Linked DNA regions of Tamandua tetradactyla. The protein of the gene in region 2 interacts with the protein of the main gene of each other region in a biochemical or structural test. Links are inferred from orthologs where the notes say so. Each region holds a gene or a part of one and is shown on either strand. Other genes may lie near its edges.

Region 1 (7,065 bases), on a different chromosome or scaffold from region 2:
TTCTGGAGAGCCAGAGAGGGCCTGACAAGAATGGCTTTAGCTTTCCCCAGCGAAGGACGTAAGGTTCTAAGGGCTCGTGGAGGGCAGAGATGTCAGGAACAAAGGACACCAGGGAACTAGAAGCCCCTTAGGTTTCTGAACAGTCTAAAAAGCTGACCTGGCTTCATAACCTCCCCACACTTCTTTCCATTCATAGTCTGGCTGGAACATGGACTCTTTATAGTAGAGGACAGGCAGAACTTTAAAATGCTAGAAGATGTTTTCTTACTGGAGCTCAAGAAACCCCCTGGTATTCCGAAGTTGACTAAAAATTACAGGAGTGGGCTTGTCTGTGTTTATCCGCTTTAAGTAATGACTTGGACTAGGTACCAGATCCTCACACATTTTTCCTTCCAACCATGAACACACGGGCCCAAGCCCTTGACATGGGCTTCTTGACCTGGGCTGTACTGCCCTGAATCCAGACAGGCCAACAGGGTCAGCAGAAAAGAAACTCCAATCTGATGCCTTCTGTAGCTCAGGACCACCTACCCCAAGAGCAAGAAGGACCAGATGGAGTATGCTGAAACCCCCACCCCGGCTTGTGAGCAACGCAGCTGCAGGGTGGGTAAAGAAACCTTTAATGAGGATTCACGATGCAAAAAGGAAGACGTACAGGGCTGGCATTCAGCCACAGTTAGCTCATGTGTACATGGCTCCATGGAGGTCCTCAAGTCGATGCTTCTGCTGCTGCTTGCGAGCCTGGGAGGAAGAGAGCACAGTGAGCAGGGGGCAACACCTGGGGGTCTGTGGGTGAAGGAATGGAGAAGCAGAAGGCCACTGGTACCTTCACTGTTGAAGCCCTTGTCCCCATCTAAGGTCACTGGGAAGACAGCAGAGCCAGAGACTCTGAGGGCCTTCACAGGCCTGCAGAGGTGGGAAGGAGAACAGCAGGGAGAGGAGCAGAGGAAACCCATTGCCACCTTCCATGCCCACCACCAGCCCCTACCTTATCTCGTCTGTGTTCCTCATAAGTGTCATCGTCAGTGGGCAGCTCATGGCGGCATAGAGGGCAGGAATTTGTCTGGGAAAAGCAGGGCACTGTTCTAGCCCCAGGTCTGGTCTTAATTAACCTCCATCCTTCCCCTCTTTCCAATTCCCACCCCTTCTTTGATTCCCCCAATAGTCCATAAACATAGGCTTGAGAACTGTGACCGGGCAGGGTGAGGGCTGGAGGAAGGGAAGTGGTACCTTGCTGAGCCAAGGCAGAATGCAGTTGGAATGGAAGAGGTGATGGCAAGGCATCTCAATGACAGTCTCCTCCTCCTCAAATTCCAAAAGACACACGGGGCACTTGAGCTCTTTGGGAGGGAGGCTGATCAGAAATGTTGCGGTGGGCCACACCTCCCAATCCCCATTCCTAAAGGTTACTCTTGCCCCAACCTGGCCAGGGAATCTGAAGGACCAGAGCACCGTCTGGCTCGGGGCGACAGGTGAGTCTAACACACTTGCCCGACACCGCGGAAAGAATTCGTGTTCTCACCAGCCTGAGAGCCCCTGATGACTGTCCTGGGGAGATTTTCTACCACAGTCTTGGCAGCAGGCGGAGGCAGGTGGTGGTCCCAATCTACTAATAACCCCAAGTCCTCAAAATCCATCCTGTTGAAAAGTGACCTGGAGAGGAGGATGTGAGACTGCAACCAGGGAAAATCATACTTCCTCCTTGCCCCTTAATCCCTGGACTTCAAAGGATAAATGTCCTGCCCAGCTACGAGCTGTAACAGCGAATCCTTGGTAGGGGCTCCCCAAGTAAAACGCAGGTGGGAAACGTTCACAGCTGCGATCGGGCCACAAGCCCAAAGACCACGCAGGAATAGCTGGGCCAAGCTGGTTCCAACAGCGCCGGCCTCGGTGGATGGGGTCCGCAATGACGCCGCCCACGCGCCCGCCTCAAAGCCCGCCTTCGTACCGCCCAGAGCTCGCTGCCCTCCCGGCCCCACGCCCCTCACCCTCCAGCTGCGCCCTGTCCCCGTCACCCTGCCCAGGCGGTGCCCCCGCACCACCAGGCCGCAGTCTGGACAGTCCCATCCAGGCCCTCCAGCCCCAGCCTAGAACCCCCCGGCATGGGCTCCACCTTGCGAGCTCCAGTAGCAAATTGGTTCGAGCCTCCCGCTCGGAGTCCGACGGCTCACAGTCGTGCTCATCGAAGTAGGACGCCATAGTCGCCGCCCCCAGCCACCCAGCTCTAGCACTCCGCGGGACCGCGGCCTCGCGGCGCCGGCCAATAAGCTAATGAGCTGACAGAAGGTGGCCAATCAGAGCAGGTGGAGGGCGGGAAAGGTGGCCTTCGATGCCCGGAAAGGCGGAAGTCCTGATCCGGCCGCGTCTCATTAGCTCTGACTAGTCAGGTGATCTAGGGCTGCGGCCAATGGCCGGGCCGGGGCCGTCGGAGTGGGCGGGGGCGCCTGGAGGAGCTGTGCCGCCCTTCTCCCGGCCCTGCAGGCCTCGGAGAATCCCTGCGTGTCCTCTGGGGAGGGGCGGGGGGTGGTTCCCATAGCTGAGGGTTCTTGGGCCAACCCTCCCGCCGCCCGGGAATCGGGGATGTCCTTGCCCTCGGGGCAGGTGTGACCTGCAGCCCAGGGCCCAGCCTCGCCCCCAGCACTTGAAAAACTAGACCAGGAAGAGCTGGCGACCCTGGCTGCATGGGAACCTCCGGGGTCAACAGAGGAAGGGAAACCCTGTCTGACGCCTGCCCTCAACGATTCGGATTTAACGATATTTTTCTAAGTTCCGCAGGTGATTCTGATGTGAGGCGGGCGTGAGAACCACTGCACTAAATTATTTGGATGATGCTACCATTTATTTGGCGTTAGAACGTTTACCTTGACGGGCATTTTACACGTAGCATCAATGAGTACCGTTACCTCCTTTTTAGGCATGTAAAACCCGCCTCTCAGAGGTGGCTTTCCGAAATGCACACAGCCTGTGACTGGCATTGCTGAGCATCTGCGGAGCCCAGTGCTGCCCTCCCTTTTCCTCGGGAAAGGAAGTAGGTGATGAGCCCAGCAAAAGCACAAGGCACCCCAAGATGTAAAACTCCACCAATTCGGAAGGATCCGTGCTTTTCTGTCAGAAGTCTTCAGTCTACTTCGCAAAAAAACAGCATAGATTTTCTCTTGACCCTGAGCTCCCTTTCCCACCCACAGTTAACCCGGAGCTACAGTTAAGTAGCCTAGGTTTCCACTACCTTCCAGGGAAGCTTCTTTCTTCTAGCCTGAGCCCAGTGATGCTTGCGGTCACAGTGAAGGCCGTGCCTGCCTGAACCCATTTGGCCCCTGGAGCTTTGAAAAGCCTGAGTTCTTTCCTCCCCTCCCCATGGCCATCCAGCCCGGTGCTGCAAGCTCTCCCTATTTTCACTGCCTATGGCTTCCTCTGTAATCTGGTGTCAAGCTTGAGGGAGAAGATGAGTGGAGAAACTGGGGGGAGCTGTCATCCACAAGGAGAAAAGCCTGTCTGAACATGAGGGCCTCGTGCTACTGTTACCAGACAGAGGCAGTGGGCTCTCTGCCTTATGCATACAATGACCGAATCATAAAACACGGGTTTGAAAGAGAGAAAGAGTTTATTACTAGGCACAAAGCAGGAGAGCAGACGGCCTGTCGGCCCAAATACCTGTCTTTCCAAACTGCAGTAATTCTTATAGTTCAATAGTATCTAAAGATGGGCAGGTTTTAGGATAATGAACACAGTGGCTCCAGATGATGTGATTAGAGGTGATCTAATTATTGAGCATGCACAGATTACATGCTTGGAATCAATGTACGTCAGAAAATAGTGGCCTTAAAATGATGCTGGGCATGATTTTTTTTTTTTTTTTAATGGGCAGGCACCGGGAATCGAACCTGGGTGCCCGGCATGGCAGGCAAGAACTCTGCGTGCTGAGCCACGGTGGCCCGCCCTGGGCATGATTTTTAATATTATAATGAGGTATAGGTGACTTATAGGTTAAAGTCTAAGCTACTGCACATGTCAGGTGGGCCCATCTTGAAGCTGAATCTAACCAGATAATCTAAATTATCTGTCTATCAAGATAATTTTGGAATTGGGGTGGGTTAGTTCTGGCTGACCCAAGGCCCTTCATTAATAAACATCAGGGGCTGTCTTCAGTGATCACAAGACTTCTAAGTCGAAAAATCGGATAAAATGGGTACAAGCGATGGGCAGTCACAAGGTTTTTACAATCAAAAAGGCAGAAGTTAAAGGCTATGCAATTATTATCAGAAATCAAGGCAGCTGGATTACAGTTTAAAGATTTCAGGTATTTCCCTCTGTCCACTCCAATGTACCAGGAGGCAAAAAGGAATATCTATATAATGATTCAGCAACCATAATCATTCTTTAAATCGTAACGTCTCAGTTGCACTGCTTTAGAAATGTTTTCCTCATTGTCATCCCATCTAGAGTCCCACTGGCCTTTCAGGATGCCTGAAAATATTATATAATAGATTCCATCTCAGGGAAACAGGGTCAGAGTAGGAAGACTGGTTCCAGGGTCTAGTTTGGGGGCTATTGTGTACTTGCACCCTCACTCTAGAAAGATCTGTCTGTGTAGTGTTGGATCAAGAAGGGAAAAAAGAAGATGCCTTCTCCCGGGGGCGGAGCCTCTGTGTGGTAGGCTTTCCAAGAAGCCCCAGGGGTTGGGACAGAATGAGGCTGGACCCAACATGTACAGGGACCATGAGACACACATACGCACACAGCAGATTTTAATCAAACAGCAGCTTTACTGCGCCCCAGGTGGAGCGGGCCTGGCCTGGCCAGTGCAGCAGGCTGCCTGCAAGGCCAGTCTCTGGCATGATGGGAGCTGCGGAGCTGCAGAGCTGCAGAGCTGCAGAGCTGCACACACACATCGGGGCTATACTTCAGAGCTCACCAGGGTGGCTTGGATGGGCACAAAGGCCAGGATCCTCTGGAGAACAGAACTGGCCATTGTGGCCATTTGGCTTGTGCTCCAGGCCCAGCTGGGTCAGTCCCCAGGCCCAAAGGCAGTGCCCGTGTCCTGCAGGACTCCGCTGCCCTACCCGTCCTTTGGGAGGAAGACGGCCAGCAGCACAATCAGGACAATGAGGACAAAGCCCACCAACAGCCCCAGGAAAATCCGGCAACGGATGTTCTCGCAACGCTTCTTCTGAGCCAGGGTGTTGGTTGTCTTGCTGAAAGCTGAGCTCTGTGGATGCCCCCAGATACAGGGCAGGAGTTAGTGGTGCCCCCAGAGCCTCTGAGCCTAGCGCCACCCACGCCCATGCCCCAAGCCAGGCCAAATCGCCTGCATCCTCCCACCGCGCCTGCTCCCTTCCTCCACACAGCCTGCCCTCGGACCCTCCCCACCAGACTCCAGGTCTGGACACTGGTTTCAGCCCCAGACGTGCCATGCTAACTGGGCGACCCCCCTCCCCCCAAGTTCACAATGCCAGTCCTCAACCTTTAGGAAGGACTTCAGACCAAGCCTCATAACCTGGACTTCTGACTTGATAAAGCCTACTCATTGCATCCCTGGGATGGGGGATGCTCAGGAAAGCAGAGGCCCCACCCCTGGCCCCTAATCCAGCCAGGACAGCGTGAGAGCACCCTCAGTGAGCTCTTCCAAACCCCCCTTCCCCTCCCCGCCTCCCCAGGCCTCACACCATGTCTAGGAGTTGGTGGGAACGCTGCTCCAGCTCCTCCAGTTTCCCGTCGCGCTCCAGGACCTTCTCATAGTTGTTGAGCATGATTTCCGTCACTTCATCTGCCTGCTGCTGGCACTGCTTCAGCTCTTTCCCTGCCTGTTTACCAAGTCCACCGTCAGGGCTGCGTGAGACCCCCGCTCGGCCCCCACTGTGTGCATGTGCAGCGCGAGGGGGGAAGCAGCCTCACTGGTGTAAATGTATGATGTATATGCAGTGAGGGGCGTCCTGGGTGAGTGTGGCTTTACTCTTCAAGGCAAGAGGGGGCAGGTCCTAGGACAGCATCTCGGCTTCTACTAAGTTGCCCCAGTGTGAGACCTTCCCAGGACCCCACCTCCAGCAAATCAGACCCTTTACCTGCTCCAGGATGTTCACTGCCCAATCCACAGCTCCCCTCTGACTTCCCACTGGCCTAATGAGGCAGCAGAGAGCAGAGTAGGGGCCAGAAAGGAGACCAGTCCCACAAGGTTAGAAGGTAATTTTGGACCAATGCACATCATAGTCTCTGCCTCTACCACCCCCACCCTACCTCCACCCCACACACCCCTTTGCTCCAACCTGAGACACTCAGGTCTCCATCCTCAGGCCTCTGACTGCTCAGGCCAGTTCTGCAATCCAGGCCTGACATTGCTCCCCACTTCAGCCTCTGCCTGGGAACCTTGGCCTTCCTGGCCTCTGGCCTCCAGCCTTCCAGCCAGCCAAGATTTCCACGAGGGTCAGGCTCACAGAGGTGAGACCAGCCCATGGGTTTCCCCACCGGCATGGCAGCCTCACCCAACAAGAGAAGCCAGTTCCTTTCAGAGGACTGGAGGAGAGACAGAGAGGACAGGGGAGAAACAGAAAGGATGGGTCACGAACTTTGGGTGTGTGATGAAGAAACCAGGGCAAAGAGGCACAAGGAAGAGCTAGAGGTCAGGAGCAGGTCCAGGAAAATTTCAGGGAGGTGAGTGCCAGTGGGTTAACAAACCTCAGCAGCTCCCTGCTCTCAGCCTGGGTGTGCTGGGCCCCCACAGCCCATCCCTGTTCCCACCTCCTCCCCAAGTTCCCTTTCCTGCCAGCCCACATCGCTTATTGTCTGCAGCAGACATTTTGGCACTTGAGTGAATTCCACTGCAAACCAGAGAACTTAAGTGTTAACAGGGATCTGGTGGTTGCAAAGAACCACCTCCCCCCTGGGCAGGAATCCTCCTTCCAGATGCTTGCTGCTGCCCTGCACACAGCCTCCAAGCATTCCCCACATATGAGTCTTATTTCCCCTGCTAGATCACAAACTCCCACAGAAAGGGAAGGGCCCAGTGCCCTAATTCCATCCTTTACCATCCCAGAGTCCTGGGGACCAGCCCAGAGCCGAACGCTACAAGGG
Region 2 (7,258 bases):
GATTCCCCTCTCATCCTCAAGCCCTTGAAAAAGGAATACCATGTCCATTTCTTTCTTATTCTCTCATACAATTTGTGTTCTACCGTCCACCAGAGAGGAGCTTTTTGACTTGGCTCTTGAGTTGGGTGCTTGGATATACCTATTTTCCTAAAAAGGCAAAGATCCCTTCCCAGAAGGAAAGGATATTAGAAGTTGAAAATTGATTTTTCTGAGAGCAGCAAGGCGTCAACTAGAAGTGACACTTGCCTTCACAGAGTATGCCATATACAGGTCTGTGCAGTTACCGTATTCTGACACCTTCTTCCCAGCCCCTTGGGCTTGAAACATATGAGTACTCCCTCTTCTCCACCCTTTGACTAACTCAGGCCTTGTCAACCATTTTCATTCTCATTTATAAGGGATACCTTCACCTGCCCCTTACCAACTCATGCCTGAATTATTGTAACATCTTCCTGGCTGGTTTTCTTGACCCTCGGATTGAATTCCCTGCCCCATGTAAACATGCTGCTTTTCCAGAATCTGAGTGCAATTCTTTTTGTATTTGCTGTTTACTAGTAAAATTATAAGCTCTGAGAGGCCAAATACTCTCAGAGTTATTAGTGTGTGTTACATAGAATTGAGTAGATATTAACATTTTGATTATATATTTAAGATATTCTACTGCTTCTCTAATAAAAAAAAGGATACGAACATAATCAAATGTAAACTGAGGATTATACATCAAGATTCATCAAGGGAACATTCAACATTTCTATTTTTTTCCCATCATATAGGTCAGTGCCAGGCACATAATAGAAGCGCAATAATTGTTGGCTAAATGAAGCCTTAATTGAACTTTAAATTCAGTGAGGGATTCTAGGACTCAGGCTTATGGGGTGAAAAAATGGAAGCAGTGTGTCAGCATTCCTCTGCCTACTATCTCAGAAGGAAGGTCAACCCAGGTCTGACACCAAAGAAACACCCATGAGGAACAGAATCCATACTGAATAGCAAACTCTCCCCACATCTGTTCATCTGCCTATTTCCAATTCTAAATGGTACTCCTGTCCTACCAGCCAGCCAGGCACCAAACCATATCCAGTTAACTGCTTCTGTCATCTCTGCACTCTCTTTTGTTCCTGACATTAGTACCCTGGTTGAGGCCTCATCACCTTTTTATTTTTTTGATTTTGTAAACTATGTTAACATATATAACTCAAATTTTCCCATTTTAACCATATTCAAATGTACAACTCGGTATTACTATATTCACAATATTGTGCTACCATCACCCATATCCATCACCCCTACTTTTCATCGTTCAAACTCCTCACCCGTTAATCCATAACACTCTCTTCCTGCTCCTAGTAACCTATAACTGTGACGTTTGTTTCTTCTAGATGTTTCATATAAACAAGATCCCACAGTATTTCTCTTTGTGTCTGACTTATTTCACTCAACTTGATGTCTTCAAGGTTCATTCATGTTGTAGCATACATAAATTTATTTTTACAGCTGAATAATATTCCAGTGAGTATTTATACCACATTTTGCTTATCTGTTCATTGTTGATGGATGCTTGGATTGCTTCCACCTTTTGGCTTTGTGAATAATGCTGCCATGAACATTGATGTGCAAGTATTTGTGTGAGTCCCTATTTTCAATTCTTTGGGATATATACCAAGAAATAGGGTTGCTGGGTCATATGGTTATTCTGTTTTCAATTTTCTGAGGAACCACTGAACTGATTTCCACAGTGACTACACCACTCTGCAGTGCTACCACCTATTTCTCTGCATTCTCATCAGCTCTTATTATTTTCTGTTTTAATAAAAGCGATCCTAGTGGATATGAAGCAGTATTTCACTGTGGTTTTGATTTGCATTTCCTAATGACCAGATGTTGAGCATCTCTTCATATATTTGTTGGTCATGTGTATATCTTCTTTACAGAAATGTCAATTCAATTTTTGGCCATTTTTAAATTGGGTTGTCTTTTTTTGTTGAGTTGTAGCAGTTCTTTATATATTCTGAATATCAAACCCTTATCAGATATATGATTTGCAATTATTTTCTCCCATTCTATGGGTTGTCTTTTCATTTCTTTGATAGCGTCCTTTTTGGCATTCAAATATTTTTTGATGATCCATTTTATCTATTTTGTTGTTATGGCTCATGCTTTTGGTGTCATATCTAAGAAATCACTACTAGACCCAAGGTTATGAAGATTCCTCCCTATGTTTTCTTCTACGAGAGGCATCATCACCCTTACCCCAGAAGTTTGTAGTCACTACCTATTTGGTCTTTCCACTAAGCCTTTCCTTTTCCAGTTCCTTCTGTCCTCAGGCAGCCAGTGAATCATCCAAATTAGAGCTTAAATGATCAGTGTGTCTCTGTTTCCTGTGTTAAATTCTTTAGGATTCACCATCTCCTAAGGATTAAGGGGCAAATTCCTTAATGTGGCATTCAAGGACCTCCACTGATTTGATCCCAGTCTTCCTTTCCCTCCTCATGTTCTAATCTACCCCTTTAAAACACCCTATGCTGAGTCAATACTTGCTTTTCCCTATAATTGACCTCTGTGTTCTGTTACTCTGCTTATGTTATTCCCCGTTCCTAGAAACCCCTTCATTCTCTAACAAAAAGCAGCATAGTGTAATGGTTAAGAACATGGACTCAAGCAGAAACCTGTTTGAATTCTAATTTTGCTACCCATTAGCTATGTATACTTGGGCAATTTACCTAAAATTCTTCGTTACACTTTTTTGCATCTGTAAAGTGGCATAATAGTACCTACTTTATAGGGTTGTTATGAGAAACATGATATAAATATCATCATCTAGGAGCATTATTTACAATTGCAAAGAGATGGAAACAGCCAAAGTGTCCATCAACAGACGAGTGGCTAAACAAACTGTGGTATATACATACGATGGATTATGCAGCTTTAAGACAGTAAATTTATGAAGCATGTAATAACATGGATGGACCTAAAGAACATTATTCTGAGTGAGACTAGCCATAAACTAAAGGACAAATACTGTATGGTCCCACTGATGTGAACCGACATTCGAGAATAAACTTGGAATATGTCATTGGTAACAGAGACCATCAGGAGTTAGAAATAGGGTAAGATAATGGGTAATTGGAGCTGAAGGGATACAGACTGTGCAACAGGACTAGATAAAAAAACTCAAAAATGGACAGCACAATACTACCTAATTGCAATGTAATTATGTTAAAACACTGAATGAAGCTGCATCTGAGCTATAGTTTTTTTTTGTTCTGTTTTTTAATATATTTTTTGTATTTTTTATTTTTATTTTTTCTCTATATTATCATTTTATTTCTTTTTCTGTTGTCTTGCTATTTCTTTTTCTAAATCGATGCAAATGTACTAAGAAATGATCATACATCTATGTGATGATATTAAGAATTACTGATTGCATATGTAGAATGGAATGATTTCTAAATGTGTTAATTTTTTTTTAATTAATAAAAATATCATCATCTAGGCATGATTGAGGTTTTAGGCACAATCTAAACTTTTCAAGGCATGCTTTACTGTTCCTCTGCTGCAGTTGTGCATTCATGTTCATTGGACTATACAAAGTATATCAGTACTACAGTAATTACTCAGTTGAGGACAATGGGAGGTTGGAGAGAGACTAGAGGGCTGGGTTAAGTATTTATTCGAACAAATATCTTGTATTCCTACCATGAACTTGTCTCTAAGAATTCAAGCATTGAAGAATGCTCAGACTAAAGCTCAAGGATTCTTTTTTGTTATAGCATAACTTACATCTTTCAAATGGAAAAACAATAGTATCATTTACAGTATCTTAAGATAAATTGCCTCTGAATGGGAGTTTCCTTTCCAGTACTTTGAGGTCCACGCAATATATCTAGAAAATTTACAGTTCTAGAAAATGAAGACTGCTTAAATCAAATGGGGATCAGGAGAGGGCCTATTGTTTTCTTTTTGTAGTAAAACTGCTGAGAGAGTTGATTTTTTTCTTTAGACATCATTCGCCACCAAAGCTCTTCCAGAAAAACTAATGATATATATAGAGAGAGCTCTTGAGTCTACCATTCATATTAACTCCATATTAATTTTTTTAACAAATGGGAGTGCTTCTGAGTATTTATGTCCACATTCTGCTTTAAGACTGTGTATTTAATTTTCATAAATTATTCTTGGAGGCCCATTTATCATCCCTGTCAATCTTGTAAATTCATGCCTTCATCATCTTCTAGACCCCAGCTAACTATGCCACTCCTGTTACTTTTTGGCCTTCTTTGAGTTCTTTCAGAAGTCAGAAATTGCAAGGGACTTTTTCTCCCGAGTCCGTGGTAACTGCCATCTTGTGTTGCTGTCACTCTCAAACTTTTACCCTAGTGAAAGATGGTATTTTGAGTTATGTGCTAAGGTGGTGAGGGAAAGGGAAGTTCTTAAGGGATTCCAGAATAATACAGAGTAGTTGGGGAGGATAAAAGAATGGTTAAGTTTGATCTGAAGAGAAACATGAATCAGAACTCCGAAAAGTGGCTATGTTCCTTTACTCCTTGGTACTCCTGGCCTCTGCCTCTCATTGGTACTCCTGTCCTCTTCCTCTCATCTATAAGAGATGACCTTGCCTTTCTTCTCAGAACTCTTCCTTTTCTTCCCATATGTGATTCCATGTTTGCATCTTCAGCCTAAGTACATGCTTCTGTTCAGTCTGTTTATGGTTCTTTCAGCTGTACCTACTACATGTTGGGTTCTTGACTAAGCCCTGGGGCTTCAGAAGGAAACTTGCTCTCCAAGGACTCATGGACCCAATCTAGCAAACAGATTGTAACTAACTGGAGTGATCAGCACTGTGCCTCAGACTCCAGCCTGAGGAGTCAGGGGAGGCTTCCTCTAGTCAGTGACCCCACCAGAATCTTCATAGTTGGACAGAAGCTCTGTCACCAAAGAAGGCACTGCTTCCACCTGAACAACTGGTACAAAGTCTCAGAGTCTGTGAACCAGAATACCCTGGAAGACCACTTTCTCCCTTGCCCAAATGCAAGATCCATTTACCAACCCCCTCCCCAGTGTTAGCTTCACTGCTGTGGCCACACTGAGACTTGCCCCAAGGTGGAGAAGTGAGGAAGCTGCTGCCTCAATATAACTGGCTGAGGCTGCCCAAGGTCCTGGCAGGAGGAAGTGGATAAGTACCATATCTAAAAAGAAATGGCATCCTTAGGCCGTATCAGGGACAGCAGTTTCCTTATTCCTTCCCCAACTTCTGGCCAAGTCAATGTGCACAGCAGTACAGCCAGCTAGGGGAGAGTGGGTGAGGTGGGGACAGGATTGTAGGATGCAAAAGCTGTAGTAAAGAACTGTGGGCTACAATGGAGGTGTACACACTAGTTAATTCATGATTGCACCATCCCAAGCAGAAAGTGATGACTGGTAGAGAAGATAAGATTCAAAAGACAGTTAAGAGGTAGATCCAACAGGACTTGGTGATAAATGATAATGGGGGGCGGGTAGGGGGAGTCATAGCTCTCAGCCATAAGCATACTCCCCCAGGGTGAGGTCACCCCCACTTCCTGGCAATCCTAGGGACCAAATGAGTGCCTCTAGGGCCTATAGCCCATTGCCCTGCCCACTGCTTGGCAAGTTATTCTGAGTTTCAGTTTGATAAGAAAAGCTTCTGTGGTGAAAACCAAAAGGAAGTGAAAGAGCTGGCCCATTTCTGCTAGAAGGTTGTGGGAGAGAGAAGATGGCCAGAGCTTTGTATCCACTGCAAGCCCTATGGCTCCTAGAGTGGGCACAGCTGCTCTTGGGACCCGGTGCTGCCCCTCCAGCCTCGGCCTTGAACTTGGATCCACTGCGGTTCACCCTTTATACAGGCCCCAATGACAGCCACTTTGGGTTTTCATTGGACTTCTACAAGGACAGCCATGGGAGGTGAGCCATGGGAGAAGTCTGGGTGTTGGGAAAGAAAAGGAACCCTCTACTCTGTCACTGCTTCTGTGGGTTTCGAGTTCCCCATTTATGATGGAGGTTGAACAAGATGACATTGGAGTCTGTTCAGGCTGAGCTATAGACAGGAATGCTAGGGAGGGACTGACTCAGGTGAGGGTGGCAGGGAGGAGGTTGGTACTGAACCCCAGCAAAAACAAAGGAAAGACGAACGTTCCTGCCTTCTGTTTTTTCCCAAGGTTAAGTTGTATGACCTGCTCCATGCTCACCCTTTGGAAAGACAGAGAGTAGCATATGTCCTAAATTGACTTGCAAAACTGTAAAATTATCTACTCACCCCAATCCTCAAAATTATAGATATCTGAAAAGAAGCAATGTTATTTTAAGGTTGGGATTGTTTTAAGGTTGGGATTAAATAGACTGAAGTCAGGGAATCTTCAGGGAAGATTAGGGAACTGGCTCATTGTCTTAATAGCTTTACAGTGAATAGTAACTTATTGTGGTGGAACTGGTGGTGCCCATCTTTGGAGAGGGGCAATGGCAGATAGCCTGCAAATGTTCTTGATGGAATTTTTTCTGTTGAAGAGAGCTAATTCTCCCGAAGTCAAGTCCCCATTGCCAAGGTGGCTCACATCCAATGACTGATGAATTCAGGGTGTGGTGGTGGAGTGTGTAAGGATCTGGCATTCTAGCCTCAACCCAGGACTTTTCTGTAGGGTTTGCCAGAACTCCCCAGGAGAGGGGAATCAGGGGACAAAACTGTCATTAGGTCTGCATCTCTGCTTAACTCTCCTCCTCCCACTCCTGTTTCCCCTCCACAGGCATTGATCCCAGGGCCACTTCTTGGTAAATATTCCATGTGCTTTATATATATGCTATTTCTTATATATACTATATATAGTATATAAAATTTAGATACAAAATTTTATAATATATATATCATTTTATTGAGAACCTTTATGTATTTGGCTAGCACAATGCTAATTTATTTCATTTACCCCTGATAGCTTTAATTGGTTGGTATTATCTCCATTTTACGTGAGGTCACACTCACTGAAAAGTTAAATGACTGAGCAAAGTCTCACAGTAAATGAAGAGTTGTGATTTGGACCTAGATCTGCTAAGGGTCCTCAGCTCCATCAGCCCTCCCCCCTCCCATCTGTACCTAAGAGGCATTCTGGCTTCCCTCATTCTCCTTTACCATTGAAACCAGCTCTCAAGAAAAGATGTGGTGACAGTGTAATAGTCTCCAGACAGACGTTCTAGCAGCATGTATTTGAGTGGGACAGGTAGGGGGAGGTGGGGATGGTGTACAGAGCTTGGA

What was found.
Region 1: the proteins of ITGA2B (region 2) and RNF181 form a complex in vitro, tested with the Homo sapiens proteins (2 studies listed by BioGRID). The link is inferred for Tamandua tetradactyla from reciprocal best matches to the Homo sapiens genes ITGA2B and RNF181.

What each region holds. Positions count from the first base shown.
Region 1 is NC_135343.1:59,894,342-59,901,406, reverse strand, and holds RNF181 (E3 ubiquitin-protein ligase RNF181), read right to left. Parts: upstream 2,263-7,065; 5' UTR 2,200-2,262; coding exon 2,114-2,199; intron 1,654-2,113; coding exon 1,523-1,653; intron 1,341-1,522; coding exon 1,231-1,340; intron 1,064-1,230; coding exon 989-1,063; intron 742-988; coding exon 682-741; 3' UTR 605-681; downstream 1-604. Other genes in the region: VAMP5 (vesicle-associated membrane protein 5), read right to left, coding at 5,057-5,206, 5,664-5,801.
Region 2 is NC_135332.1:23,085,926-23,093,183, forward strand, and holds the start of ITGA2B (integrin alpha-IIb), read left to right. Parts: upstream 1-4,155; 5' UTR 4,156-5,731; coding exon 5,732-5,919; intron 5,920-7,258. UniProt on the Homo sapiens protein: Integrin alpha-IIb/beta-3 is a receptor for fibronectin, fibrinogen, plasminogen, prothrombin, thrombospondin and vitronectin. It recognizes the sequence R-G-D in a wide array of ligands.